Linked DNA regions of Canis lupus familiaris. The protein of the gene in region 3 purifies or fractionates together with the protein of the main gene of each other region. This does not show direct contact. Links are inferred from orthologs where the notes say so. Each region holds a gene or a part of one and is shown on either strand. Other genes may lie near its edges.

The links.
Region 1: the proteins of AGO3 (region 3) and TNRC6A purify together in Homo sapiens (affinity purification with mass spectrometry; 7 studies listed by BioGRID and IntAct, with this or other methods). This does not show direct contact. The link is inferred for Canis lupus familiaris from reciprocal best matches to the Homo sapiens genes AGO3 and TNRC6A.
Region 2: the proteins of AGO3 (region 3) and DICER1 purify together in Homo sapiens (affinity purification with mass spectrometry; 3 studies listed by BioGRID and IntAct, with this or other methods). This does not show direct contact. The link is inferred for Canis lupus familiaris from reciprocal best matches to the Homo sapiens genes AGO3 and DICER1.
Region 4: the proteins of AGO3 (region 3) and TNRC6C purify together in Homo sapiens (affinity purification with mass spectrometry; 3 studies listed by BioGRID and IntAct, with this or other methods). This does not show direct contact. The link is inferred for Canis lupus familiaris from reciprocal best matches to the Homo sapiens genes AGO3 and TNRC6C.
Region 5: the proteins of AGO3 (region 3) and TNRC6B purify together in Homo sapiens (affinity purification with mass spectrometry; 6 studies listed by BioGRID and IntAct, with this or other methods). This does not show direct contact. The link is inferred for Canis lupus familiaris from reciprocal best matches to the Homo sapiens genes AGO3 and TNRC6B.

The regions. Positions count from the first base shown.
Region 1 is NC_049227.1:21,486,346-21,492,057, forward strand, and holds the end of TNRC6A (trinucleotide repeat-containing gene 6A protein), read right to left. Parts: intron 5,573-5,712; coding exon 5,502-5,572; intron 5,327-5,501; coding exon of another isoform or gene 5,273-5,326; exon of another isoform or gene 5,090-5,272; intron 5,084-5,089; exon of another isoform or gene 4,957-5,083; intron 4,776-4,956; coding exon 4,636-4,775; intron 4,151-4,635; coding exon 3,775-4,150; 3' UTR 1,243-3,774; downstream 1-1,242.
Region 2 is NC_049229.1:64,298,049-64,303,129, reverse strand, and holds the end of DICER1 (endoribonuclease Dicer), read left to right. Parts: intron 1-2,384; coding exon 2,385-2,547; intron 2,548-2,637; coding exon 2,638-2,713; intron 2,714-3,068; coding exon 3,069-3,234; downstream 3,235-5,081. UniProt on the Homo sapiens protein: Double-stranded RNA (dsRNA) endoribonuclease playing a central role in short dsRNA-mediated post-transcriptional gene silencing.
Region 3 is NC_049236.1:6,321,108-6,327,716, reverse strand, and holds the start of AGO3 (protein argonaute-3), read left to right. Parts: upstream 1-2,484; 5' UTR 2,485-2,598; coding exon 2,599-2,617; intron 2,618-6,609.
Region 4 is NC_049230.1:3,926,785-3,932,609, reverse strand, and holds the end of TNRC6C (trinucleotide repeat-containing gene 6C protein), read left to right. Parts: intron 1-714; coding exon 715-785; intron 786-1,368; coding exon 1,369-1,508; intron 1,509-5,041; coding exon 5,042-5,402; downstream 5,403-5,825. UniProt on the Homo sapiens protein: Plays a role in RNA-mediated gene silencing by micro-RNAs (miRNAs). Required for miRNA-dependent translational repression of complementary mRNAs by argonaute family proteins.
Region 5 is NC_049231.1:25,844,261-25,850,085, reverse strand, and holds part of TNRC6B (trinucleotide repeat-containing gene 6B protein), read left to right. Parts: intron 1-1,424; coding exon 1,425-1,499; intron 1,500-2,369; coding exon 2,370-2,415; intron 2,416-3,686; coding exon 3,687-3,835; intron 3,836-5,056; coding exon 5,057-5,227; intron 5,228-5,825.

The DNA.
Region 1 (5,712 bases), on a different chromosome or scaffold from region 3:
AAGGTCAAAGGAGAAAATGAGCTCGAAGCACCCGGTATGTGCAGGACCCTGGACTTACCATCACCATCATTCCTCCATCATTCCTCCTTCCCCACGACCTTGTACATGCCTGCTCAGAGGAAGTCCTGCCAGGTCCAGAGGCTGGGTGTCTGGATGGGACCCCCAAAGCTCACTGGGGTTGTGATTCTGGCTCTGGCTCGGTGACCCCACTGCCTGCATCTGAAATCAAAGGCTCTGCCGGAAATGATCTAAGCTCTGGAGAAGGGGGAAGACCAATGCTCCAATGCTTGGAATGGCCGTTTAACCCAACAGTGGGCTAATTTGCTTAGTGCGACCTTCATTTGTTGTTGATCCAAACATCTGCTTCATCCTAATTCTTGGTCTTCACGCTATTCTCTCCATGCCCTTTGACTTGGATTTGACCCCTCACCTGTCAAGAACTTCGATTCCCCCAGGTGCACCCAGTTCAAGAAGTGGCACTACCAGAATTTTTGGTTCTCAAATGTCAACAGGGTGTTGTTATTCCTTCCAGTATTTTATTTATTAGAGAGCGAGAATAAATGAAGGGGGATGGGAAGAGCAGAGGGAGAACAAGAGCAGGTTCTCCGCTAAGCAGGGACCCCAAGGTGGATCTCGATCCCAGGACCCTTGGTATGACCTGAGCCAAAGGTAGACACTTAACTGATTGAGCCACCCAAGCGCCCTTCCTTTCAGTATTTATTCAGCACCTACTAGGTGTCTGAGCACATGGCTTCTCCAGGTGAGCAAGAGCTCAGTCACCAGCGGTGGCCTGGCCCAGTGCCTCAACATACCGACTGGAGGGGGGATGACAAATCTGCTGTTGCAAGCGGGAATGGTGTGGGTGGGTGGGGGTGGAGGTGCCTGCTCTTGCAGGGACAGCGAGCAGGGGTGTAAGCCAAGCCAGGTAGCGATGCAGGGCAGCTCCGGATGCCCCAAGCCCCGCACACAGCCCAAGCACTCGTCCAGGGACGCAGGAGCCACACTCCACTGTGAGCCATCCTCGGGAATAATGCATAACCTGATGTGTTAAAGTGCTTAGACCGCCCCCTGCAGGCCGCCAGTGACTCGAGGCCATTTGGCCAGGCGCAGGTCAAGATCAGAACTAGGGCCTGGACCTGGGGCCCGAGTAGCTGAGAGGTTATGATAGACTGAGTGACACGTCGCTTGGGGAAGAGTTGTAATGATTTAAGGACTAGGCAAAAACCAAAACCACTTGTTAAATTTTTTAAATCAAACACTTTATTTCCACATAACAAGCGCAAAAAACTCCCAAACACTTTTAACAATACAATTAACGCAGTTATGAATTCAATTATATACTACTCAAAGCCCCAAAAGGTCAATCAGCTTAACGTTCCAAACATTTCCAAACGTGGTTTTTCAAAGCTACCTTTGGTTTTTGGAAAAACCAGTATGGAAGTCAATATACATTGAATGCATTGAACAACATTTGCTTGTAGGAAGGTGTCCGACATTAGCTCACACCTGGCAAGCCGGAGCATGATTTGAAGTCATACACTGGAATACACACACAGGTTTTGCCCCAGAGCTCCCGCGGTCAGGAGAGGGCCGTGAAGGGGGGAGGAAGGCCAGTCCAGGTTGTGGCATTTCTCATTTGTAACAGAGGTATGAGAGTTTAACACTAGAACACTGGCAAGTCATTAAGCTTCATGTTCCAAATGGTCTCTTGCTGAGGCTTGAGATGGGCACAAATGGTGGGGGAGATGAAGTCACAGGAGAGCTTTGAGCAACAAGATCCCAAAGATGCTCAGAGAGGGTAGGAAGGAGCAAGCTACAGTTTCCCATTGTTCTCACATTATTTCAGGGTGAAATTGTGGAGAAGTTCGGATAGAATGTTCAAATATTTGCTTAGATTTGTACTCGGTTGCTCTATGAGGACCCTCATATACAGCAACGTTGAAACGTTCATTGTAAAAAAGAGCGTACAAAGAAATTCACAAAAAAGAGACAATTAATGTTGAGCAGCCAAAAAGTCATGGTTTATTATATCGGAAGGGATTTCATAATTCAAACACAACCAAACTGTACATTTTACAATCACATTCTATTTGTAAACAGTTAAAAGCCACTGACTTCTTTTGCATCTTAGGACACAAACAGTTAGATCAAGGCAATGAAATGATGGCAAATTCTGCGCTGTTAAAATGTTTACCCTTGTTTGGCCCGTCTTCTTTGACTAAGCAAGCATTATAATACCATTTGTGGGCAAAAAAAGGGGGCGAGGAGAAAGTAAGTTTAAAAATGGTGTAACTCGTTAGTTTGCAACAACATTTAAAATTTTCTTTATACAATGAACAATTCTGTAAGCCCAATACCTTGGCTACAGTATGCATAGTTACTGATTTCGGCTTTAAGGTACAACAGTTCAACATTAACACAGTCACAAGAGAGCAGAAACAGAGAGAGCCACTTGATGGGGTTACAAAAAATTATCACCTATTATTAGCAAACCATCATCACTCACTAATAAAAAGACAGCATCTGAAAGCAGAATGTCAACTCCAGCTTTAAGCGATTTTTTGTTTTTGTTTTTTTTTGTTTTTTTTTTTGTTTTTTTTTTTGTTTTGTTTTGTTTTTTGGCAGAGAAAATTCTTTAACAGAGCAATATGTAGTATCAGTGCTAAAAGTTGGGGTTTTGTTTTTCCTATAAGAAACTACAAGGAGTTATTTTTTTTATTTTTTTATTTTTTAAATTTTTTTTCCTAACTGGGGAACTGGTTTTCCTGAGAACCATGCTCTTGGATTTAGGACAGGAATAGAAAACAAAAGAACATGGCCAAATGCTGCTCCTTTTTCCCAGAGATAGAAAGCATCTTGTAAATCATCCTCCATTGTTTTTTTTTTTTTTTTTTTTGTCTTTTAAATTTTTTTTAAATGATGGAAGAGTAAACATTTTTTTTTTTCTCAAAAAACAAACAAAAAAATCTGTAAACAAGAAGGTTCACCGTGGGAACCTTCAAAACAAAATGGAAAGCCTATTCAAAGTGCAGGGCCCGTCCTGGGTGGCAGGGGGGCTGCAAGTCACAGCTGTGGCCACAGTTTTTCAAACTGCAGAGCGAAATTCTTTAGTTTTATAACATGAAAACACTGGTGCAATACTTTCATTTATAGTCCTAAGTCAGCATCAGAACTCGGTCTTTTAAACTCCACGACACCACAGTAAGGTAGGCAAACATCAAGGCATAGTAGAGAGCGCACACCTTTAAGAACATCCTTGAGTAAACATTTACACTGGAACAGCTGCCCCCCCATATTGCCGATTAGACGAGAGAACATCATTCAGTGCAAAGTTAAAAGCTCATACATTATCAGCCCAAAAAAATGGTTTTGCAAAAAAAAAAAAAAAAGAGAGAGAGAGAAAGAAAGAAAGAAGAAAGAGAGGAAGGAAAACAGGGAGGGAGGGATGTGGAGGGAAACAGGGAAGGGAGGGTGGTGGTGAAAAAAAGAACCCAAAGGCTAAACATGATGAATATACACAAGTGAGCTCATTCTATACGGTTTAGCATGTATGGCGCTATTTGGGAGTGTAAATAGATAGATACCTTTTCACATTATAATATTGGCCTGCATGATTCAAGTATTCAAACTGATATGTTTCAGGGAAAACAAAGTGGAAAATGTGCAGAGAAGAGCTGTTCCCACAGGTGGCCCCTGGCTGCAGGCGGCGAGCCCAACTTAGTGCTCCTTTCTTTCGCTTCTTGAGGTCACAGTTCGTGAGTCTACATCTACACGTTACATGGACTCTCCACCCCCACCCAGGTGGTCAACAGAAAGAAAAGCATTAATGGGGGATGGGCTGCTAATTCCCCGGGGGTCGCTGCTGCTGGGAGGACCCCACAGGCTTGTGGAATAATGTGGGGTCCCCCAGAGTGAAGTGCCGTGAAGGTCTCCACAGTTAGTTCCCGACAGCCCAGCACCATTCCAGTGATTGAGATCGGTCCGGCTGGAGAACGAGTGGGAACAGTCGAGGGAGCCCAGCCGGCTCTGGCTGGACCCGAGAGACTGCCAGCCGGGAGAAGGGGTCAGAGACTGACTTTGTGCAAAGAAACGGCTGATCTCCTCTTCACTGGCAAACTCAGCAAGAATAGTAGTGTTCCCCAATACACACCTGGAGGGAAGAGACACAGGGGGGTGCGGTGAAGACTCAGGGGATCTGGAAGATCTCACTGATTCGAAGTGAGAGGAGCACTCAGCTTCTGCTCAAAAGGCGAGGAGGATGGTGGGGGGTGGGGTGGTGGTGACACGCCCACTGCAGGGCTCTCCAGGGCCCGGAGCAAAACCTGCCCCGCGTGTATGGTGGTGGTATCCAGCTAGATTAAGGCCTTTTGCCTCCTATAGGTGATTTAAAGGTGATTTAAGAGATTTCCTAAGGCCGGTTTGAGGGGCGATGCTTCACCTTAGGAGTACTGACCTTGGAACCCAAGATAGAGGCGAGGTCGCTGCCTTACAATGCCCTTTCACCGCGGGACCCCACGCGCTGGCCCGGAGAGGACACACAGTGCCACCAGCTGTCCTTCCATACACAAGGGAACCCCACACTCTACTCATCAGGAGGGCATTTTCCAGGTGTCACACACCGGATGGCCAACTTACATGTGCAGAGACTTTTGTGCCTTCACTACCTCTTCTTTTGAACTGTAACGGACCAAAGCATTTCCATGTGGGAGGTTCAGGTGGAATGTTATCAGTGGGCCATGCTGCATGCACAGAGTACGCAGAGTTGAGCCGTCAATCTAGGAAACAGAGCATGAGGGGGCCGCCAGTTAGATGAGCTGCCACGAGGACCATCAGGGGACATCGTCCTCTCTTTCCTGCCCGAGGTTCTTCACTCCTGCTGCCATTCTTCACTGGGGCTCACTGCCGGGATGGGGTACGGTGCCCCCCTCCCCACCTCCACTGGTCCCAGAGCCATACCTCTGTGGCCTCTAGACTCCTGGACATTCCCCAGATCCCCACTTCCTTAGTTAGCCATGCCCCTGCTGTGGCTTCATGTCTTCTCTCTTCCCTGCCCTGAGGACAGGATTCATCAAGGCACTGCTCCCTGGGAGAGGAGGGGCGGGCTCTTAACATCCAGCCTCCAGAGGAGGGGTGGTCCGGGGCCTAAGGAGATGTTCCCATCCAGAAGAGCAGACCAGGGTTTCTCAAGAGCAGTACCAGGACCGCCTGCATCACAATGATCTGAGTGCCTTCAGGAGGGTGCAGACCCCGATCTTAGCCCGGATCTGCTCCATCAGAGGCTCTGGAGCCAGACTGGGGATCTATTTCGCTTGGCTCGGTGCACGTTCTACAGGGTAAACAAACACGGGTGGGACCGCAGCCCGCCTGAGGCCTCCGAGGACCATCCTCATCACTCCTCCCTCTGCCCGGCCTGGAGTCTACTCGGCCTCAGCTCAGCAACACTGGGACCTGCTGCGGTGCGCCTGGCGCACGTCTACTGGCCAGGACACCGGCTTGCTTACCTGAGGTGTGAGGTTCTTTAGAACAAGCCAATTTGTTATTCTCCCTGAGCTGCTCTCACCCCAACTGGAACCTGAGGACAAACAAGGCCAGGTCAGTTTTCCAAGGCTGTGGCCTCAGTGACACTGAGGACATGCACATCCCCGTCAGGTGACAGCTCTGCAGGGCCACCTGGCCCCTGGCCCCCTCCCCTTCCCTGTGGGGTCCTCTTCT
Region 2 (5,081 bases), on a different chromosome or scaffold from region 3:
ACTGCCCCAGGATGGTGGGATGGTGCGATGGTGCATGTGCCCTTCCAGGGCAGAGGAGGGACCAGGGGCCGTCAGCTCGGTTCTCTTCTGCTCCCGCCACCTGATCGGCAGCCAAAGCAGCTCAGCCTCCCCCTGCCCCTGCCCCTGCCCCCAGCGGTGCTGGAACCTTGGTGAGGGCTCCTTGCTGTTTGTTCTGCCTTTCTTTCTGTTAAAATGGGGCAGAAAACATTCGCTGGTACTGTCTCAGGTAAGCCTCACAAATGTATGGTCTGCTTCGACTTGAAAATAGGAAAATCTCTTTTAAAAACCCACCTTCTAAAATCTTAACCATTGGAATTTGAGAGGCTTCTGTTGTAAGTTCAGCCAAAGGTTCTTTGGTGATGGAGCTAATTTTAATGTGTTTGTGAGCTATTTGGAAGTGTTGTAGCAAGAATTTCACTTAGATCTTTCCACTCTCCTCTGATGCTTCGCTGCCATCCGTCTGCATACCTGTGTACCCAGGAGAGCACTCCCAGGTCCGCTTCTCCCCATTCCGATCCCTTTGTTTTCCTTACTTTTGGAGATTTCTTACTAGGAGTCGGAATTTATTCATAATTCTAGTGGCTGTTTTAATTGCTCTGGTTACTTTTATACCTTCCCTTTTTATGATCACACCAAACTGTGGCTGGAGACTAGTGCATTTCCTTGACTTGCTGTGAGAGAGATTTGAAGTATAGCCTCAAGGCGAAGTGTCCTACCCTGTAAACAATGCAGAACCTGTGCTGAGGGAGAACCCACTCTGCCCCGTGTGTACTCCTCCAAGGTTAATGGTCCGAGGTGGAGCACAGCTACCAGTGGGACTAGGAATGAGAACCATCTCGTGTACTTAGGATTATTTCTCGTCTCATTCTTTAGAAATGTTTAAGCTAAGAATTTGAGGAATTAGCTAAAATTAGTTTTAAGTTCTCTTTTGATGGCAGTGGGACATGGTGACTCTGTTCATTTTTGTTCATTCTTTTCCTTTGTGTAAACATAGGTATTAGAAGTTACAAAAACTGATTGGAAATGTCAGTGGTCTGGCTTTTCTAACTTACTGTCGGATCTTAAGCAAGTCTCTCCACTTCTCTGGGCCTCAGTTTCTTCATCCATGAAAGGAGAGAATTAAATTCGATAAGTTTTAAAATTCCTTTCTACCTCAAAACTGTGATGTATGACCAATGTCTTTTTTTCTCAGCTGCCAGCATTATAAGTGGTTTATATAGAGTTCTGTGTGGCTAAACAATCCATTTAGAAATTAAAAAAAACAAAAAAAACAAAAAACAAGTGCCCCCTTCTCTTTCTTTTTTCTTTCTTTCACAAGTAAATAGTATTTTAGAAAATACAAATAAGCAAAAAGAAATACTAAAGTTATGCAAATATACTACCTTAGAAATAACCAAATGAACATTCTGTGATTTTTTTTTTTGCTAATGTATATAAACATAAGCATACCTAAAACATAAGATGGAATTATATTATGCATAGTATACATAACCTGTTCTTTTCACTTCATATTTTGAGGACCATTTTCCGTGTATCCATTGGCATTATGACTTTCAGTGGCTGCTCACTAGTCAGTTTATGGCTATAATGAAACATATTTAAACAGTCCTTTGTGGCTAGATATTTAAGTTCTTTTTATTTCGGGTTTTTAGTAAACATGGGTGTGGTGACTATATCCAATACTTCCTTAAGATAAATTCCTAGGGATGGGATTACTGCATCAACGAGTTAGGAAATTTTAAAAAGACATTTGATAACATACCTAAGTTTTTTATTACATTAATTTGAATACTGTGTATCAGTCCTCTCTTAATAGTGAATGCGTATTAAGGGGTTTAATAAAAAGGGAACTCAGTGGAATCTATCTTCTAGTAGAATTTCTCAGTCATAAAGTGACAGTTTATACTTGCCGAAGCAGTTTGTACACCCTTGTCACTGCTGTACTAGTTAGTATTCAGCCTAATGCCTGCGGAGCCGCTAGGGGGTAGAACTGTTTAAAGATACAGTTCTTTGATTACGAGTGAATTTGAACTTTGCTTAATACATTTATTAACTATTTCTAATTTTGTGTTGTTTCTGTTTTCATTTAGAAGTACTCTTTTTTCCCTTCACTGAGAATAGAATCATACTAAATTGGGAAGAGTTTTTTTATCCCTTGAGAAGTTGGAAAAAAAATTTTTTTCTAGATAAGATGTTTGCAAAGAACTTACTACAATGTACTAGGTGGTTGCTATAAATGGTTGGTATTGTTACCCTTGTTAAAGGTATAATAAAAGTCCTATCCAAGAAAAGATACATACTGCTGTGGAATGCCTTTTAAGATGGCCTTGTTCCTTACAAATCACTTTTCTCTGTGTAAATAGCTTAGGAGGTCTGAGGAGGATGAAGAGAAAGAAGAGGACATTGAAGTTCCAAAGGCCATGGGGGACATTTTTGAGTCGCTTGCTGGTGCCATTTACATGGATAGTGGGATGTCACTGGAGATGGTTTGGCAGGTGTACTATCCTATGATGCGGCCGCTGATAGGTACTGTGTGCTCCCTTTGAAAGAAACAAAATCATAATTAAAAACAACTATAAGGATATTATTCACATTGCTCTTTCATTTTGATTACAGAAAAATTTTCTGCAAACGTGCCCCGTTCCCCTGTGCGAGAATTGCTTGAAATGGAACCAGAAACTGCCAAATTTAGGTAAGCAAAACTGTGCATGGAAAAAATTAAGTTACTTAAAAACAAGAGTTGGAAGAGTTGTCAAAGATGCCATCAACTAATGATACGGAGAAGTATTTATACTGGGGCATGCACTATGTACTCTCCGTTTATAGTCTGATTGACTTTTCCTTTCGCTTTTATAAAGTAATGCTGGGTTAAAGAGGAAAACTCAGCCCGGTCTGCTGGCGTCCGCGCCACCGTGTAATGCACGTTTCCTTTGTGTGCCGTCAGCTCATACCCGGGCCCTCCACCTCAGAGCGCGTGCCCAGTGCTGATTGACAATAATAATAAATAGTTCTGACTTCTGATTCCAGCTGTTTGGCTTTTTTTACAGCCCGGCTGAGAGGACGTATGACGGCAAGGTCAGAGTCACGGTGGAAGTGGTAGGGAAGGGGAAATTTAAAGGCGTCGGCCGGAGCTACAGGATCGCCAAGTCTGCAGCAGCAAGAAGAGCCCTACGCAGCCTCAAAGCCAATCAACCTCAGGTTCCCAACAGCTGAAACCCCTTTTTAAAACAAAACAAAACAAAACAAAAAAACATAAAGCAGAATTAAGGGGGAAAACTATTTAAATTGAGAAGGATGATTTAAAGTCCACAGTGAGCGGAATGAATCGAAGGCAAAATTTAAAGTTTGTTTGATAACGAGATAGATTACAGAATAAAACATTTAACATATGTATAAAAATTTTGGAACTAATTGTAGTTTTAGTTTTTTGCGCAAACACAATCTTGTCTTCTTTCCTCACTTCTGCTTTGTTTAAAATCACAAGAGTGCTTTAATGATGACATTTAGCAAGTGTTCAAATAATGATTGACAGTTATTTTTTGTTTTGGGGTTTTGTTTTTTTAGTTTAATTTCCGTCAGCTTTGCATAGCGCCAGGAGGCCAAGGAGCTTACAGCTGAGACAGCCCCTAGGTTCTGCGAGCGCCCTCCCCTCTTCTTCGTGGGCGCTGGCACCTGTCTGGCCTTGGCGGGTGCGCCCAGGAGAATGGTGCGGTTGGCCGGGGGAGAAAATGCCTGTGCTGTCTTTTCTTTCTACATTCTGTCATGTAAGATGTTGTCTCCCGGTCGTCATTGCACTTAATATAGTAAGGGACAGGTGGGTTTTTTTTGTTTGTTGTTTTTGTTTTTTGTTTTTTTTTTAGGGACAGGTTTTTAATGAACATTGGCTGGCATGTTGGTGAATCAAATTTTCGTTTTCTCATGCCACATAGTCCTACATACAAAAGGTTCTTGCCTTAAAAGTGAAACCCTCATGGACGTTCTTTAATTTCTGATCTTTTTGGAACAAACTGTTTTACATTCCCTTCATTTTATTATGCATTGAGATGTTGAGACAGCGTGATGTTTGCAACTCACTAGTGTAGTTGTGACTTAACTTATTACAGGATTATATTAGAGTTTCTGTCATACGTGTCCTGAAGGCATTTTGAAAACCAGAATATTATATATGTAGTCTATGGGTTTTTTTAAGCACCATAATAAAAATAATCTCTGGTTAAATACCTGATTTTACTAAAAACCTCCTGCTAGGTAGTTCCACTGATGGAAATTGTTTGTGGCAAACAGTTTTGCCCTGGAGGCTGTTGCTCTAACAAGATAAACTCTAGACATATCACACCTAAAATATGCTGCAGATTTTATAATTGACTGGTTACTTATTTAAAGAAGCAAAACAGAGCACCTTTACCCTTAGTCTTCTCACTTAAATGTCTTACTATACTTGTCCCAGTGTCGTGTGCATTCTTCACCTACCAAAGCTGTGCTGTTAATGCCATGGGAGTGTAACGTTTGCGATAAACTGCCGTAATTTTGATACATCTGTGATTTAGGTCATTAATTTAGGAAAACAAGCTCATGATTTCCATCTTTGGAAAAGAAAAAAAAGACATTTTTAGGCATTTGCCGAAGTTTCTTTAATTAGACTTGTAGGCACTCTTCACTTAAATACCTCAGTTCTTCTTTTCTTTTGCATGCATTTCCCTCCTGTTTGGTGCTATGTTTTATGTATTATGCTTGAAATTTTAATTTTTTTTTTTTGCACTGTAACTATAATACCTCTTAATTTACCTTTTTAAAAGCTGTGGGTCGGTCTTGCGCTCCCACCAACACACCAGTAGAGGTTTGCTGCAATTTGCCCCATTAATTATGCTTGAAGTCGAAGAAAGCTGAGCAGAGGTGTCTAATGTTTTCCAGCACATCGTTCTTTACTTGATGCTTCATATAATGCTGCATTTTTTGTTTTACATTACAGTGGAATACTGTACTTCTTGCTTTATCTGCACCACTCACCCCCAGAGAAACACCTCTGCATGTGTGCATGGAGAGAGCTGTCCGCTGCTTTT
Region 3 (6,609 bases):
TGGTCCAGGGAGAGCCTCATGCAATTTGCTTTTGGCAGAATCATTAGACCTTTCGCCTTCCCACTTCTTGATATTGCAATTAATGTACCTTTCACCTGGGCTCCTTCTATGATGAAGTGATGGTGTCCCTGAATAGCAGAAGTAGATGGGAAGGCCTCATTGACATTAAACTGAATTAGGAGATCCAAGTCCTCCTCCATCAAGGTCAACAAGACAGTGACCTTCCTCAGCGGTTCATCACCATGTTTATATTCTGGGAGATGACAAGCGTGCAGTCACTTAGGGAATCAGTTCCAGAATGGGAGGTTGAGGGTGTGATAGACCCTTGCACAAGTGTTGGTATTTACCCTGTTGGATGCTGCTACTGATTTGGATTCTGGATAGTCAGGCATTGAAAGTAACTTTTAGGATACAGTGTTTCATCTGGTAACAATTTGATACTTTGAACTCCATGTATTCTGTAAAAACGGTTAAGAGGGATCCCTGGGTGGCACAGCGGTTTGGCACCTGCCTTTGGCCCAGGGCGTGATCCTGGAGACCCGGGATCGAATCCCACATCAGGCTCCCGGTGCATGGAGCCTGCTTCTCCCTCTGCCTGTGTCTCTGCCTCCTCTCTCTCTCTGTGACTATCATAAATAAATAAAAATTAAAACAAAAAAAAACGGTTAAGGGTAGGAAGAAGGCGGAATTGAAGTCAAGACAGAAGAGGGTTTGAATCCCATCCATTTAGGAAACATTTACTGTAAAGTAGGTGCATCTAATAAGTGCTTTAAAATGTTATCGATAGCAAACTTTCTCTTCACTAACTTTTAGTTAGGCTTTGCTCTGGTTTGTGTACGTTCCCTAACCTCACAGCAGTTATGTAAGGTACGTTATTCTCTCCATTTCTCAGATAAGAAAACAAACCCAGAGGCTCAAGCAACTGACCCAAAGTCCCTCCGTGACTGGGGGGGACTGAAGATACTTCTCCTTTTTTCTCTTTGTCCCAAACTTTAAAAAAACAAAAAGCATTTTGATTTTTAAAGGTCTAAATTACATTACTGATGTTTAGGGACCCAGGCAAAAATCACGAATCTCTAATCTGAATAGCATCACCTTTCATTAAGGCAACATATTAAGGACCTACTGTTCCTAGTGAGTGTGCTGGCCGCGGTAAGCTAGTGCTTAGAAGCCTGTGCGGGGTAGGGGGTAGGGGGCACACAAACTAAAGTAAAACTACAGGTTGGGAGGATTCTTAGGGAAATGCTGTAATAGAAGAACGCCCCCTCCCCCCATTAGTGATCAAGAAAAGACCTCTCTGAAATAAGGCTGCGGTATAAGAAGGTTCTGGGGCACGGAAGGGAAGAAGGGAAGCTGAGGGGGGAGGGAAAGGAGAGGCTCTGTTCCTGGCCTAGGGAACCGAGCCGAGGGGCGCCACGTGGGAAAGGAAGAGGCTTGCCCACAGCGGGGACGGGGAGCGGACGGCGTAGCTGCAGCCTAGTGGTCTCGCTTGGAAGGAAGGGTCGGCGCGCGCGGCGCGCTTTGGCCCCGCAAGAGTCGATCTCGGCGTGCCGGGACGCTATTAAAGCGTTTTAAACGAGGACATTATCCGATGTGGTGTTTATCTTGTTCCTTTTTTTTTTTTTTAATTTTTTTTTAAATTTATGATAGTCACAGAGAGAGAGAGAGAGAGAGGGAGAAGCAGGCTCCATGCACCGGGAGCCCGACGTGGGGTTCGATCCCGGGTCTCCAGGATCGCGCCCTGGGCCAAAGGCAGGCGCCAAACCGCTGCGCCACCCAGGGATCCTTAAAGTCTTGTTCCTTTTTTTTTTTTTTTTTTTTTTAAAGTCTTGTTCCTTAATACTCCTTTCCCGTGCTAAGTTGTACGGCCCTCCCCACCGCCAGGGTCGTCGCCCCCGGACTTGGGAGTGATCCTATAGTGGTCGCTTGACCGCTTTCGGAGGGGGCGGGGCAGGGGGGGGCTCGGCCGGGGCGGGGCGCGGGGGGGGGGTGCTCCGCCGGGGCGGGGGTTGCTGGGGCGGGGCGGGGGGGTGCGCTGTGCCTCAGCCGGCGGCAGGCCCGGGCCCGGCGCTCCCGAGCGGCCGCGCTGCAGGTAGGCTCCCGCCCAGGTAAGCGCCACTGCCTCGGGAAGGCTCCGCCCGGCGCGGGGTAGCGCCGACTGCGGCTCCCCAGGGTCGTCTCCGGCCGGCACGCCCCGCCCAGGCCCGGCCCCGGCCCCGCCCCCGCCCCTCCCCGCGGCCCGCAGCGACGTCGCAGCCGCACGGCTCGGGGCGGAGGGCGCGGCGGGGGCGGCGGAAGTGACGGCAGCGGGCTTCCGGGGGCGGCCCCCGGCGAGGTCGGCGGCGGCGCCGCAGTCGTGGAGGGGCCGCGGGAGCGGACGCGGCGGCGGGCGGCGCGCCTTCCCACGGGGCTGTCCCGGCCGCCTCCCGCTTCGCCCTCCGCCCGCCGGGTCGCGCGCTGCCTCCCCGCGGCGGCCGTCCCCGAGGAGCGCTCATCGCCGCCCGCCGGCAGGCCCGGCGTCCGCGTCGCCCCTGCGCTGCCTCCGCGCCCCCAGCGGCGGGCGCCCTTCTCGGCCGAAGCACCCCCCCAGCTCCATGAATGGAAATCGGCTCCGCAGGTGAGCGAGCCGCGGCTGCCGGGCGGGCGGGGCGGGAGGAGCCCCGGAGCCCCGGAGCGCGCGGTCGTCCCCCTCCCCGCCCCCTCCGTCCCCGCGCAGCCCCGCCGCGGGTCCCGGGCCCGGAGGACGCGAAGCTGCGCGGAGGGCGGGACGGCGGGGGGCGCCGCTGGCAGCGTCGTGCTTCGGGGTCCTCCCGCGAGCAGGCGGGCTTCGGCGTCGCCTTCGCTGCTCGGGCGGCCGGCGTGCGGGGTGCGCGTCCCGCGGAGCCGCGGGGCAGCGGGAGCCCGGGGCGGACCCGGCCGAGGGCGAGGTCACGGCCCGGCCGCAGCTCCTTCCGGCAGCCGCCTCCGGCCCCCGGGCCCGCATCCCGCTCCCGCGGCGACGTGGATCCGCGAGCTGCTGCTCGGACTCCCTCCGCCTTCCCTGGTCCCCGGAGAAGACTCTCCTATTCCGGGAGTTCTGGAAATTAAAACAACCTGCTCTCTCTCCTCTTGGGAAAACGGCAGTTTTTGAGAAAATCTGCAACATGGGCAGTACTTGCCTTGGGGGAAAATAAATAAATAAATAAATAAATAAATAAATAAATAAATAAATAAATAAGCAAGCACTTTTTTTACGATTCTAAAGTAACTAGGAGACACAAAGTAGCTGTTACATAATGACCTGCTTCCCAAAAAATCATACTTATAACGTGGTAGATTTGGAAGTACGCTTCATCCAGACGGTAACACATAAGTTGATTTTTGGAATATTGAGGTGGGGACGGGCTGTCTCGTTGCTGATGGAGATCTCAAGTTCCTGAATTTCACGTGTCGTTTTGCTAGTCTGGGAGGTATTTGAATATAAGAAAAAGTTAAGTGATAAAGGAGATCGGTGACCTAAAGATAATGAGGGGTTTCGTTGATTAAGTTAAGAAGTGTAATTGTCAAAAAAAAAAAAAAAAAAGAAGTGTAATTGTCATTAGATGCAAACAGCGCTCAATTTGTAGCGGGGAGGGGGGGCGGGAATGGGGCGAGGAGATTATTGCAAGGTTTACATGAAATTTTTTCTAATCAGTTTCTTCTGTTTCTCTTTTGCATTCTTTTTTCTGTCATCTTCATATTTTCTTTAAAAGGGATACTTTATAGATTGTGAAGTTTTATTAATTTTTTTCTTAAAGTTACTTTTTTTTTTTTAAGATTTTATTTATTTATTCATGAGACACAGAGAGAGGCAGAGACACGGGCAGAGGGAGATGCAGGCTCCACGCAGGGAGCCCGATGGGGGACTCGATCCTGGGACTCCAGGATCACGCCCTGGTCCAAAGGCAGGTGCTAAACTGCTGAGCCACCCAGGGATCCCCGAGCTTGTGAAGTTTTAGATTTTCATTTGTTTATCATTGATTTGTATATTTCTGAAACTGTGCCCTGCCTTTGTCTTTTAGTTGTGTACCATACTTTTGAGTGAATAGGATGATCTAGGGCTATAGGTGACTTTTACATAACTGTCCTGTTATCAGGCCTGGAAAGCAAAACATGAAAATTAAACACTTTATTAATTACCCTAAGACTTTTAAAGATAGTTCAAAAAAATTTTTAAGTGTTTTTCACCTTTGGGTTTTTTGTATGAAATTATGGCCCAATGTATGGACAACATCCTCAAAAATATTTCTGAAGTCCAGTCGCCTGGCCAACTGGTCCAACTAGCCAAGTGTGATTCAGTAAACACTCCAGTGAGTTCTTGAGCTATAGATAAGTCTTACGTCTTCTTTTTGCATGTGCCATTGCTGAAATATATACACATTTAACTATCTTCACATCTGGGGAGGTAGAATTAGATAATATCGACCGTATGCTTAGACCTCTTGAAACTCAAAGTTTGCTCTTCAATGCAGTTCATACATGATTAATCTAATAATGGAGATAAAGTATAATATGGCTCAGAATTGTCATCATCAAAAACAAAGTTTCCATTCTTCCTGGGTCTTATGTGTAATTGTTAATGCTGCACGTGTAACTGAAAGCATAGTTGGGTAAAATACACAACTAAGTTTTAAATCAAGAGTTTGAGAGGTAAAGAGGGGGGGTGCCTGCCTGGTTCAGTCTTTGGAGCGTGAGGCTTTTGATTTCAGGGTTGTGAGTTGGAGCCCCATGTTGGATGTGGAGATTACTTAAAAATAAAACATAAAAAAAATAGGTCCATATTTAGGTTTAAAATATTTTAGACATGGGGGTGCCTGGTTGGCTCATTGGTAGAGCCTGTGACTTTTGAACTCAGTTCTGAGTTTGAACCCCACTTTGGGTGCAGAGATTTCTTAAAAACATCTTCTTAGACATAAATGTTTTGATAGTCTATTGAGTAAATGTTGGATCTTTGCTCCAATTTGGTTCTAAGGTTTTGGTTTGTGTGTGGAAAGTCTTAGGTATTACCTTATGACAGGCTATTTTAAATACTAGTTCTTAGGAAGATAAATAGGAAACTTACATTTATTTACATGGGGGGACTTGGACTTTGGATACAAATGCTATGTTAATTGTTTCTGGGTGAATCATTACTAAAAATGAATATTTGTCCATTTTTGCATGTAATATTTTAAGTGATTTTTTAGGGTGTCCTGTTCATTGTACTGATTTAGAACTGGGTGAACTGGGCAGCCCTGGTGGCTTAGTGGTTTAGAGCCGCCTTCAGCCCAGGGTGTGATCCTGGAGATCCAAGATCGAGTCCCATGTCAGGCTCCTTGCATGGAGCCTGCTTCTCCCTCTGCCTGTGTCTCTGCCTCTCTCTCTGTCTCTAATAAATAAATAAAATCTTAAAAAAAAAAAAAAAAAAGAACTGCGTAAACTTTAACCAGAAAAGCTAGCACAATTGGTTTTTAAATATAACAATAGTTTTTCATCTGTGCCTGTGACTCTTTAGTTAGGAAAACTTCTTTTTTTTTTTTTTTAATTTTTATTTATTTATGATAGTCACAGAGAGAGAGAGAGAAAGAGAGAGGCAGAGGGAGAAGCAGGCTCCATGCACCGGGAGCCCGACATGGGACTCGATCCCGGGTCTCCAGGATCGCGCCCTGGGCCAAAGGCAGGCGCCAAACCGCTGCGCCACCCAGGGATCCCCTAGTTAGGAAAACTTCTAATGAAATTCTGGTTGTTTTTTTTTATAGTTTAGTTACAATTGGACTAAAAGTATTTGTTTTAATTCCAAATAAAGTGTGAATGGAAGCTGCAGAAACATTCATTAGGATATCACTTCTCCTTTGTAGCAGGGTTTTAGGACCTATTCTATAGGTATTTTTAGGTGTAGTTAGACTACTGTTTAAGGGAGAAGGAATTGTACTTACCTGCCAAGGAAGAAAAACATTTGCTTTTACTTGAAATTAATGATGTGCAAAGTGGTTTGATAACCTTTGGTCGCAGTCTTATACAGTGTTGCAGGAGTAAATAGACCATGTTTCTTAGTGATACTCTTAAATTCATGTTGGGATCTGCAAAGTGATTTCAAGGCTCTGGATTTTTTTAAATACTAAAAATCTAGGGTTGCCTGGTTGGCTCAGTCCATCAAACATCTGAGTCTTAGCTCAGGTCGCGGTCTCAGGGTCCTGAGTTCAAACTTCATGTTAGGCTCCATGCATGGAGAATAAAAAAAAACTAGAAAATAATAGAATAGAAAATAAAATCATAGAATAAAAAAACTAGAAAAAAATAATAGAATTAAAAAACTAGAAAAAAAATCATTTGAGAACAAGTTTCAAAGAAACAGAAGTTGCATATATGAAATTAAGTTTGAATGAGATGAATAAAGTATTTAATCTTTTAGTATTTTAGTGCTTAATCTTTTTTAAATCACTTTGGAATATAAGTTTTCTCACTTGTGGATTTTTGTCTTGAAGAAAAAATTGTCAAAATGCTTCTCTGTCTACAGGGCATGAATTTTGAACACGCAAAAGGTTTTTCTACTTGGTTGCCACTTAAATTTTAACTTGTGCTGTTCTTGAGTGGCCATCATGACTTTTTTTC
Region 4 (5,825 bases), on a different chromosome or scaffold from region 3:
TCCCCACCCCTAGAACCCAGGAGGGCCTAGGACAGGCCAAGGCACTCTGCACTGTCAGGGCAGCCATCTGCGCAGCGCTCCAGCTGCCATGGTTTTCACCTCCATCCTGGGCTCCAGTGTGTCCTGAGGCAAGCGGTCCTGGCAGTCACAGCACCCCTCCAGGGGCCACGCTGAGCCCTTGGAGGAGGTACATTCAGCCAGCACAAAGGGCTCAATTGCCACTTTGGTATTTACTTCTCCACAACATTTCACTGGAGCAAGGGGCTTTCCAGGCCAGGAACAAAACCAGGCCTCCAGTGTGAACTGGCTACTGCATCCCAGGGCTGCCGTTCTGCTGGCCTCCATCAGCACCCTCCCCCAAGCTGCAGGCGTGGAAGACATGTGCTGGGAACTTAAGCTGAGTTTGAAACCAGTTGCAAATAATTTGAAAATTGCCGTCGCCTGTAATAGTCCTGTGGGTCTGCTGTATTAGCACCCAGCATTCAGAGCATTGATTCTAAGGGGCGTGGGGGCAGAGGAGGAGACGGGACCCCCAGGGGCTCACCTCAGCAGGAATTGTGGTTTTGGGTTCACCAAACCAAAAAGATAACATGGGTTTTCAAAGGTTGAGAAAGACTTAGAGCTAGCAGTGGCAGTCTGGGTCTGTGCTACCGTACATGTTAGCAAGAAGCCTCTGGTGGCCGTGCTGACCAGGCTCTCCCTTGGCTCATGCAGGTTCCGCATGGAGCACCGACACCTCAGGACGGACAAGCAGCTGGCTCGTTCTCCGCAACCTCACGCCCCAGGTACAGGCACCTGCCGAGGGGGTCACCAAGCAGGCAGGTTCCCACTGCCCCCCATGCATGCTGGCCTCCGTGCAGGGGGCCCTCACGGGGTCCCAAAGGTGGTGTGGGCAGCCACAGGCAGACAGGCCTGTGTTCCTGGCAGATTGTTTACGTTTTACTCTTTTGAGGCTTAAAGAGTCTACCTTTTAGACAGAGTCACTTGCCTTTAATTATACCCACTGAAGACTCATTTGTCCTGCACTCCCCTTTCCCGGGGTCTGGGGCTGTGGGGCTGCCAGGAACCAGGGGCTCTGTGTGATGTATCCCAGCTGGCTGGGTGGGGAGGCCACAACCAAAATGGGGTCTTTACTTTCTCCTCATTTTTGGAATTCACGAAATATAACTGAAACATCCAGTATTAAAAAGTACATGGTAAATGACAAGGCATAAATGGTTAAAATCATAAAGTCCTCCACACTAAGCCGTTTGAAAGACGGACAATTTCCCAGTGTTTAGTACACCAGGGTCATATACGTTTTCTTTAAGAATGTCGTGGAAGAAGTCCCAGGAAGCTCGTTACCGCCCCCTTTGCTTCCTCAATCAGATCGATGGCTCTACCCTGCGGACACTGTGTTTGCAGCACGGGCCTCTCGTCACATTCCACCTGAACCTGACTCAAGGCAACGCCGTGGTCCGCTACAGCTCCAAGGAGGAGGCCGCCAAGGCCCAGAAGTCCCTGCACATGTACGTCTCTTGGCCGCTACTCGGCTGCCCCATGGCCTAGCATGTCCTGGCAGCACTAAGTTCTGGTGTCATGTGTGCTCCAGGGGCTGCTGTGAGAAAGCACCACAGGCAACAGACATTGCCTCTCAATTCTGGAGGGTGTCAGCAGGGGCAGTTCCTTCTAGGGCTCCTCTCCTGGGCCTGCAGACAGCTGCCCTCTTCCTGTGTCCTCACATGGTTGCCTCTTTGATGTGTGTGTGTCCTAACTCCCCCTTCTTAGAAAGACACACATCATAGTGGGTCAGGGTCCACCCTGATGAGCATCTTTTCTTTCCATTACCTGTGTAAAGAGCTACCTCCAAATATAGGCACAGCTGAAGTGCTGGGGGCTAGAGCTCCCATGTGGGGACTCGGGGGTCATGATCCATGCCGCAGCAGGTATCTCATGACGCATCTCTCTTCTGCTGTGGAGTTGTCGCGGCCACGCCCCCCACTAGGGAGAGGTCCCCAAAAGCATGCACATTGAGTGCAGTGACAGAAGGAAGACGCTCTCTCCACCAGGTAGCACCAGGCATGTGACCCATCTTCCAGCCACCTCCCCCCACTGATTACAGGATGCCCTTGGTAAGATGTGTGAGTGGATGTACTCAGCGACAGCACTGAAGCAGTGGGATTGCTGAATCACACGGTGGTTCCATTTTTAATTCTCTGAGGAACTTCAGGAGTAGCTGAACTAATTCCTTATTCCCACCACCAGTGCACAAGGGTCCTCTTTTCTGCACATCCTCACCAACACTTGTTATATTTGTCTGTTTGAGTCTAGCCATTCTAACAAGTGTGAAGTGATTATCTCGTTGGGTTTTGATTTGTATTTCCCTGATGATCAGCAGTGTTGAGTATCTTTTCATATACCTGTTGGCTGTTTGTATGTCTTCTTTGGAAAAATGTCCAGTTCTTCTGCTCATCTTTTAATCAAGTTGTTTGGGCTTTTTTCGTTGTTATTGAGCTACATGATTCTCTATATATTTTAGATATTAACCACACCAAATAAATGGTTTGTGAATATTTTTTCATTCCGTAGGTTGTCTTTTCATTATATTGACAGTTTCCTTTGCTGTGTAGAAGAGCTTTAGTTTGATGTAGTCCTACTTGTTGATTTTTCTTCTTTTGTTACTTGTGCTTTTATTTATTTTTTAATTTTTATTTATTCAAGTAATCTCTATGCACAGCATGGGACTCCACTCACAACTGCAAGATCAAGAGTCACACACTAGGGGCATCTGGGTGGCTCAGTCAGCTAAGCATCTGCCCTCAGATCATGATCCCGGGGTCCTGGGATGGAGCCACACATCAGGCTCCCTGCTCAGCGGGGAGTCTGCTTCTCCTGCTCCCTCTGCCCTTCTTCTCCCTGCTGCTAATGCTCCCTCTCTCTGTCTCTCTCAAATAAATAAATAAAATCTTAAAAAAAAAAAAAAAAGAGTCCCATGCTCTTCCAGCTGAGCCAGACAGGCAGGCTTTTAGTGTCTTATCAAAAAAGCATTGCCAAGACCAATCAATGTCAAGGAGCTTTTTCCCTATTTTCTTCCAGGAGTTTTATGGTTCCAGATCTTACATTTAGGTCTTTAACCCATGTCGAGGTAACTTTTCTGAGTGGTGTGAGACAGGCGTCCACTTGTCATTAGTCTGCACACGTTTCTCCAGGTTTTCTGGCAGATTTGTTAAAGGAACTGTCCTCCACTGAGTGCTCTTGCTTCCTTTGTCAAATATAAATCAGTGTCTACATGGGGATCTATTTCTGGGCTCTATTCTGCTCCACTGGTCTATGTGTCTGGGGTTCTTTTGCCAGTACCATACTGTTTTGAATACTATAGCTTTGTATTACAGTTTGAAATCAGCAAGTTTGATGCCTCCTGCTTTGTTCTTTCTCAGAATTGCCAGGGCTATTTGGAGTCTTTTATGGTTCCCTACCCATTTCTATAAAGAACCCATTAGAATTTTTATAAAGATTGCATGGAACCTACAGATGGCTTTGAGTTGTCTGGATAGCCTTCCATTTGTATCTTCTTCAATTTTTTTATAAAGATTTTATTTATTTATTCATGAGAGACACGGGCAAAGGGAGAAGCAGGCTCCATGCAGGGAGCCCATGGGCACTCAATCCCGGGACCCTGGGATCACGACCTGAGCCAAAGGCAGTTGCTCAACTGCTAAGCCACCCAGGTGCCCCTTCTTCAATTTTTCATTAAAGTCTTTCAGGTTTCATTGTTTGGTCAAATTTATCCCTAAGTATTTTTTTTTAAATATCCCTAAGTATTTTTTTGTTTTTTGATGCTGTCATGAATGAGATTTTTTTTCTTTATTTTTCAGTTATTTCATTGTTAGTACATAGAAACGTAGCTGTTTTACGTATGTCCATTTCATATGCTGCAACTTTACTGAATTCATTGCTTACCTCTAACAGTGTTTTTGGTTGAGTCTTTAGGATTTTCTCTATATAAGATCATGTCTTCTGCAGATAGTGACAATTTTACTTCTTCCTTTCTGATTTGGATGCCTTTCATTTATTTGTCATGCCTGATCCCTCTGGCTCAGATTTCCAGGACTGTGTGGAATGGAGGTGACAAAAGCAGGCATCCTTGTCTTGTTCCTGACCTTAGAGAAAATGCCTTTAGCCTCTCACCAATTGAGTATGATGTTAGCTTGTGTGTGTCATATACGGATGGCCTTTGTGGCACAGAGGCCTGTTTCTTCTGTCCCCCACTTGTGGAGGGTCTTTATCATGAAAGGTCATTGTGTTTTGTCAAATGCTATTTCTACATCTAATGAGACAACAGGACTTGAGTCTTTCACCCCATTGGTGTGTTGTGTCATACTTAGTGATTTGCATATGTTGAACCATCCTGTATCTCAGGAATAGTTAGATACCACATCATCGTGAATGTGTAACCCTTTATATGTGCTGTTAAATTCACTTTGCTAATAGTTTGTTGAGAATGTTTACATCTGTGTTCATCAGGGATATTGATCTGTAAGTTGTCTTGTGTCCTGATCTAGCTTTGGTATCAGGATAACATAGGCCTCATAAAATGTGTTTGGGAGTGTTCCTTCCTCTTCAGTGTTTTGAAAGAGTTCAAGAAGGATTGATGTTAATTCTCTTTTAAATGTTTGGTAGAATTCACCAGTGAAACTCTGTGGTCCAGGGCTTTTCTGTGCTGGTAGGTTTTTGGTCAGTGATTCAGTCTCCTTAATCATTATTCATCTGTTTAGATTTTCTCTTTCTTCATGGTTTGGTCTTGGTAGTTATCTGTTTCTAGGGATTTGTCCATTTCTTCTAGGTTGTCCAATTTGTTGGTATAGAATTGTTCCTAGGAGTCTCTCCGGATGCTGTGTTTCTGTGGTATCAGCTGTCATGTCTCCTCTTTCAGTTCTGATCTTACTTATTTGAGTCTTCTCTGGTTTTTTTTTTTCTTAGTCAAACTGAAGCGCCATCAAATTTATCTTTCAAAAAAAAAAAAAAAACAGCTCTCAATTTTGTTGCCATCCTGCTCTTTTAGGTGTGTTCTGGGAAACACTACCATCTTGGCCGAGTTTGCCAGCGAAGAAGAGGTGAATCGTTTCTTAGCCCAAGGCCAAGCACTGCCGCCCACCTCCAGCTGGCAGTCCAGTACCGGGACCGGCCAGACGCGGCTGGGCGCCTCGGGCGGCTCCCACGGTCTGGTGCGGAGCGACCCTGGCCATTGGAGCGCCCCATGTCTGGCAGGCAAAGGGAGCAGCGACCTGCTGTGGGGCGGGGTCCCCCAGTACTCCAGCAGCCTGTGGGGCCCGCCCAGCAGTGACGACGGCAGGGTGATCGGAAGCCCCACCCCATTGAACACTCTGCTGCCTGGCGACCTCCTCAGTGGGGAATCCATCTAGCACCGACAGGACCCCCATGGGCGCCACAATCATCAGCACCAGGAAGAAAAAGCTGCCCCTTTCCAGTCCGGGTGGCGCGGAGGACCCCGCTGGACCTGAGCAGCCCGGCAGCCCTTTGAGTACCTCTGTCCAGACTGAAGACGAGCCCTGGCCGCAGTCCTTGCGAACTGTTCCCGAGACAGTGCGGGCTGCGCTTGGTCAGTGTCACGTGCTAATGACAGGATGTTCCTCATAGCTTTTTATTTTGTGTTGTCTTATGTTTGTATGGTGTGTTGTCGTTTTGATTTTTTAAGTATAAAAGCTGCTTAGAATAGTTCTATCATGAAGGGCACTTTTCAGATTGTGGGCTGGAAAGGGTTATTTTATCAAGGGGGGCGGGAGGGAGGGAGACGAGAAAGCCTATTTAAAACGAGCCTGTGACGA
Region 5 (5,825 bases), on a different chromosome or scaffold from region 3:
CCCCATGAAACACTTCACAGTGAATATTGTCCTGGTTTCAAATACCAAGTACTGTCCTGGAAGGTCTTCAGTCAGCTAAGGGGGTTATGCCTTTATCCCCTTTGCTGTAGGATATTAATGTTGTTCTGCATACGGTAACTTGATAGCCTAAACACATAGGTTGTTTATCTTGGAGGCATCCTGTTTAAGCAGCTAGTTACAATTTCCCTTCTAAGGATTGCTTTGCCTCCCCCTAGTCACAGATGGAATTAATCCGTAAAATTCTCAGTATCTTTGTACTCGCCTGTTATCTGGCTTGTTGTGGCTTTTTTTGTCATTTACAAATTCCCAACAAGACAGAAAAAAAGACAGTTGAGGAATACTGCTGATTGACAGAAGTGAGTGAAGGAAAGGTGCTGGCCCACTCAGGTGGCCCTGAGACATAACTGATTCAGCTCAGTTGAAATTTGGCATTTCTGCTCCACAACTGACAATTCTGACCTTTTGTGTCCAAGGGCCTTTTTTTTTTAACTGATTGTGATCAAAGACAGATAATGTAAAATTTACCATTGTAACCATTTTTAAGTGCACAGGCAGTTCAGTAGTGGTGATTATATTCACGCTATTGTGCAACCATCGCCACATCTAGCCACAAAACTTTTCATCTGCAAAACTGAAACTGTTTGTATTAAACAAAAACTACCAATTCTACCCTCCCTACAGTGAGGGCTTTTTTGACCTTAAAACCTGTGACTGAACTTAAGTGAACTTATTCACTTTGAAGAATAGTAAAATCAACATAACAAATATCAAAACAGTTTTTATTTGTAGAATGTACAAGTAAGCAAAGCCCCATCACCCCATCCCCACCAACTCCTCATCATTGTTCCACCTACCTTCTCCATAGAAGTAAAAGTGGAGCTGGTGTTGGATGTCCTATTCTGGGGAGAAACTAGTTTGTCCCTTAAGAAACAAAAACTCAGGGGCTCCTGGCTGGCTCAGTTGGTTAAGCATCTGCCTTTGGTTCAGGTCATGATCTTGGGATCGTGGGATTGAGCCTCGTGTAGTGCTCCCTGCTCAGCAAGGAGTCTGCTTCTCCCCCTCTCTCTCCCCTACTTGTGCGTGTGCGCGCTCTCTCGCTCTCTCTCTCAAATTAATAAATAAAATCTTAAAACAAAATAAAACAAAACACCAGCTAACCATGTATTTTTCCAGTTCTAACTCAGTGTGACGAATCAAATAAGAATGAAAATATAGATAGAACTAAAGCTTATTACTCTTTCAGACTAATGGATAAAATATCAAAATAACCACAGTTAAAGAGGGAAATTTGGGCTCAGAAAGGTAAACTGTTGGTTCTGCATTTTCAATCAGTACATAAATCTAACTGATAAGAAGTGAGATAAAATAATTTGGTTCTGAGGTTATGTATTTCATTTCTGTAGTGCTCACTGAAAGGAGGAAACAATGATTCATGGATGAATCCTCTTGCCAAACAGTTTTCAAATATGGGATTGCTGGTAAGTTTCATTTTCTTTTATGTGTAATACAGCCCAGCTTTTACTTTTAGTACAAATGTGAAGACCGCTGCCACTAGAGTACAACATTACAGATTTAGAAACTGGTTAAACAGTGTTTCTGATTTGGATTTAGCAGTATTTGTCCTCTATTCTTTTATTCTTAATGAAATACTCCAATATTTAAAGGCTATGGCTTTTGAATTTGTAGTCCTTGTGTCCTTTTCCTTAAGTGGTTAGGGGCAGAAAGAGCCAGGCCTTAAAACTTACGTAACGTTCCCTGACTAATACTGTACCAGTTTTCATATTACAGTTTTGAAAATAGCAGCAACAATAAAATAAGTAGGGGAACTATTTGTAATTAATTATATAGGGAATTCTTGTAGGATTTCTCTCTCTCTCTCTGTCTCTCTCTCTCTCTCTTTAAATCTCTCGGGAACATTGTGGGACACCCCATCCCTAGTTGCCAAAAGACAGATAGCTTGACTTGGCTGCACATTTCCAGATTTGATGACTGGACAAGTCACGAGAAGAGGTTGTCATCATTTGGCTGACACTCGTGGAATTTGATCCTGAGCCGACTGGAACTTATTTCTCTAAGCAGCTATTTAGCTATTGCTCTGTCCATAGAGTTACTGAAGCTAATTCTATGTGAAAATTGAATGTGGGAATATGGACACCGTAGGCAATAAAATTAGTCACATCATCAGTGATCTTGTCTTCATTCCAGTATAAGGTTTATGTCAAAGGACCATGTAGAGTACCAATAGTACGCCACAACTCTCACGTAAATAATGCCATTTTTTTATCTCTCTCATACAGATGTTGCAAATTCAAACCTTTAATCCTCCCTCCCTGTTGCTTCTTTTTCAGAGTCAAACTGAAGATAATCCAGGCAGCAAAATGGATTTGTCTGTAGGTGTGTATCACTCTACTAATATGAATGGGTATATTGTGATTAATGATGTTATATTGAAAAAAAAAATGATGTTATATTGGATCCCTGCTCAGCTTGAGTTGGGATGGGTGCCATTCAGCAGACATAAAGGACCATCCTGGACACTAGGGATTGAAAACTCAAATAGTTGCGGGATCCAGGAAAGTAACAAAATGAGTGTCATGTACCAGGTATAAGAAATTGGGAGTTGAAGGCCACTGGTTAGCTGTCGGGGGAATATGTACCATCTCCAGGATAAAGGAATCAGCCTTGCTCTGGCCTTAACAGTTGTTGCCATGGAGAGTAAGGGTTCAGCTTTGTCAGAGCTTCCAGTTGGCGAGCGAGGCCAGAAATTCAGACATAAATTGACATCCTGATTCTTAAATATTGGAAACTAATTCAGATTTTAAAAACTAGTGTGTGGCCAAAGTATGTCTGTGGCCCTGCCAGACTCTGTTCTCAGGTTGGTAGTCCTGTCTGCACTGGAATGTTTCATTATTGATGAGTTCTCCCACCCTAAGTGGAGCAGTTGCCATGTTAGCCCCTAGTCTGTGGGATCGTCACCATGATGCTATTGCTCACCTTGAGGAACTTAAAAAGAATCAAACCAAGGAAAAAGGAAAATAGTCCTAGGTCATAAGGGAGATAGTCTGATCTATGATATTTTAAAATCTAAGAGTGACGAAAAAATGAGTTTCCAGGGGCACTGATCATGTCAGTATATAATAGCAAATTTCCAGAGCTGTGAAGAAAAGGAGTAGTAGTCATGGTACTTGGGAAATCTCTTGTTCACTTAATGTGCCCAACTCTAAGTTTTAAATTCTAGGGCAACAGCTATGCCTCTTAGGCCTTTTTATTCTCAATAACTGTGTCACAACCCCACCCATTTATCTAGCAGATGCTAAAACAACAGCAGGAGACAAACTCTCTCACGAAGTGCATTTGATTTTATGAGTGAGTTATAGTCATCAAACATGTCAATAACCAGTGGAACTATTTTTTTAGTCAGATTTTTACCAGGTTGGCCCTAAATCTCTCTTTCAATCTTCCATTGAAAACAAGCTACAACTGACACAAGTTTTTTAAGAAGGAACAAAAGGATCCACACGTGCCCCTGGGGGCCTGAACCAAGAGGATCCCTCATGGTCTTATGCCCAGCACCTCAGGGAGAAGAATGGGACCGGTACCCCCCCCACCCCCATCATGAGGGAGATATTTGTTCTTGAAATTTTCACTTCTGTGTTACTTTTCAGGGAGCCTTCCAGATAAAAAATTTGACGTGGACAAGCGAGCAATGAATCTCGGGGATTTTAATGATATCATGAGGAAGGATCGATCTGGGTTCCGTCCACCTAATTCCAAAGACATGGGAACCACAGATAGTGGGCCTTATTTCGAGAAGGTGAGTCAAATCCTTTAAGATAATTCATGCGAACCACTTTGGTTCCCATTTGTTCTTTTGATAATTGATTCCAGGAGGAAGCACAGAGTCACTGAATTAATTAATGAGCAAAACATAAACATCACCTGCATTTAAGTGTTGACATGAAAACAGTTGATGTCAACAGGTGACTAGGCAGAAGCTAGAACCATCTGTCTGTAGTATGTGAGTATTATGAAGAAGGTCTGAGTTTTTAGAAATTTTATGAAGTTTGGAAGGGGGAAATAAATGGTCTGACTTTTTATAGTGGGAATGCGAAATGTGTGGAAGAAATTTTAGAGACCAATTTATTCTGCTGTACAGTGAGAAATTAAATTTGGGATATCGTGCAGATAATTCGTATCTCCTAAGGCCTTCCCTTCTAGCTTTGTTAAGATGTTCCAGAACGTTCTCTTTTGATATTTCTAAGAGAGTTCCTTTGTTCTTTCTCCATTTCTCTAGTGACCTATTGTGAGTTATAATGGTATACTGTTCAAATTCTCAACCTGATTTAAAGAAGTCATGAATACCTATTTGTTTTTGATTCTTGTCTTTCCAATTGGAGGAAATAATTCCTTGATTCAGAATACTGATTTGTCATGGCCCTGGTCTTCAGAAAGCAATAAAAACCAAAAGTTTGGGCAGCCTGGGTGGCTCAGCGGTTTAGCTCCGCCTTCAGCCCAGGGCGTGATCTTGGAGTCCCAGGATTGAGTCCTACGTCAGGCTCTCTGCATGGAGCCTGCTTCTCCCTCTGCCTGTGTCTCCCATGAATAAATAAATAAAATCTAAAAAAAAAAAAAAAAAAAAAAAAAAAAAGTTTTTGATCTGGCAAATTTTTGACGTTATTGATAATGCTGTTTCAGGCAGCAACAGATTCATAAGATTACTCTGGCTTTTGTTTCAGCAGCCACATAGAGTAATCAATATTAGATGCATAAAAATTCAGAGTCTGGCAATTTTTATCTTAGTGCAATGGACAGAATGTGTTACTTAGAGGATAAGAAAAAATCCATATCAGAGGTGACAGATGGTGTCTGTTGGGCCAAGTGTGATGACTCTGATCAGATCCAAATTCCATCCTCGTTTATTGCTAATACACTCTAACTCTGTTTGTTCCTAGTGTTTCTCTCTTGTCCCTTCTTGCATTCTGTTGCTTCACTAACCAACACTCATTGTGATTGGCTAACTCCTACTACTTTTCAGCTGACTTTGCCTTTCTCCAATCAAGATGGGTGCCTTGGGGATGAGGCTCCCTGCTCTCCCTTCTCCCCTTCTCCCAGCTACAAGCTGTCTCCCTCTGGTTCCACACTACCCAACGTCAGCCTTGGAGCAATCGGCACAGGGCTCAACCCCCAAAACTTCGCTGCTAGACAAGTAAGGAGGCCTCTCAAATTTATAACTGCTTGACTGTGGCCTTGCCTTGGCCCTGGTCTGCAGTTCATTGCATCATTTGTCTGTCTTGGGAAATTTGTTGATTACTGAATGCACAGAATGATACTAAGTATAGGCTTTAGATCTCTCAGCCCGTAGAACCCATCTCTCTTCATATTTTCTCAACATGGATTTTATTTTAAATTTGTTTCTTTCGTCTTCTCATTTTTGGTCCTAATTTCACATTTAAGAAGTTAACTAATAAACTGGCTTAGGAAAATGTTAAGGAGGCTACATAGGTACCTTACGTCATCTAACTTAGCAACGGATTTGCCATTCTTGACATTAGATTGAATGGCAAGTGATACTTTTGAAGTCCTTTTGATTTAGTAAAACTTCTAATTAGAAAATAGCAGCAAAACTAGTAAGAGTAAATACTTGAGCTTTACAGCATCTTAAAATCTAGTGTCTTTAAGTTAAAATATAGTCATTACCCAGGGAGAGGTAATTTGATAGAAGAGCTTTGGGAAGCCTGGATGTTGCTCAGACATGGCGGTTCCATCTAGCCTGGAGCTGCCCATTTCATAGGGGTGGCCTCAGT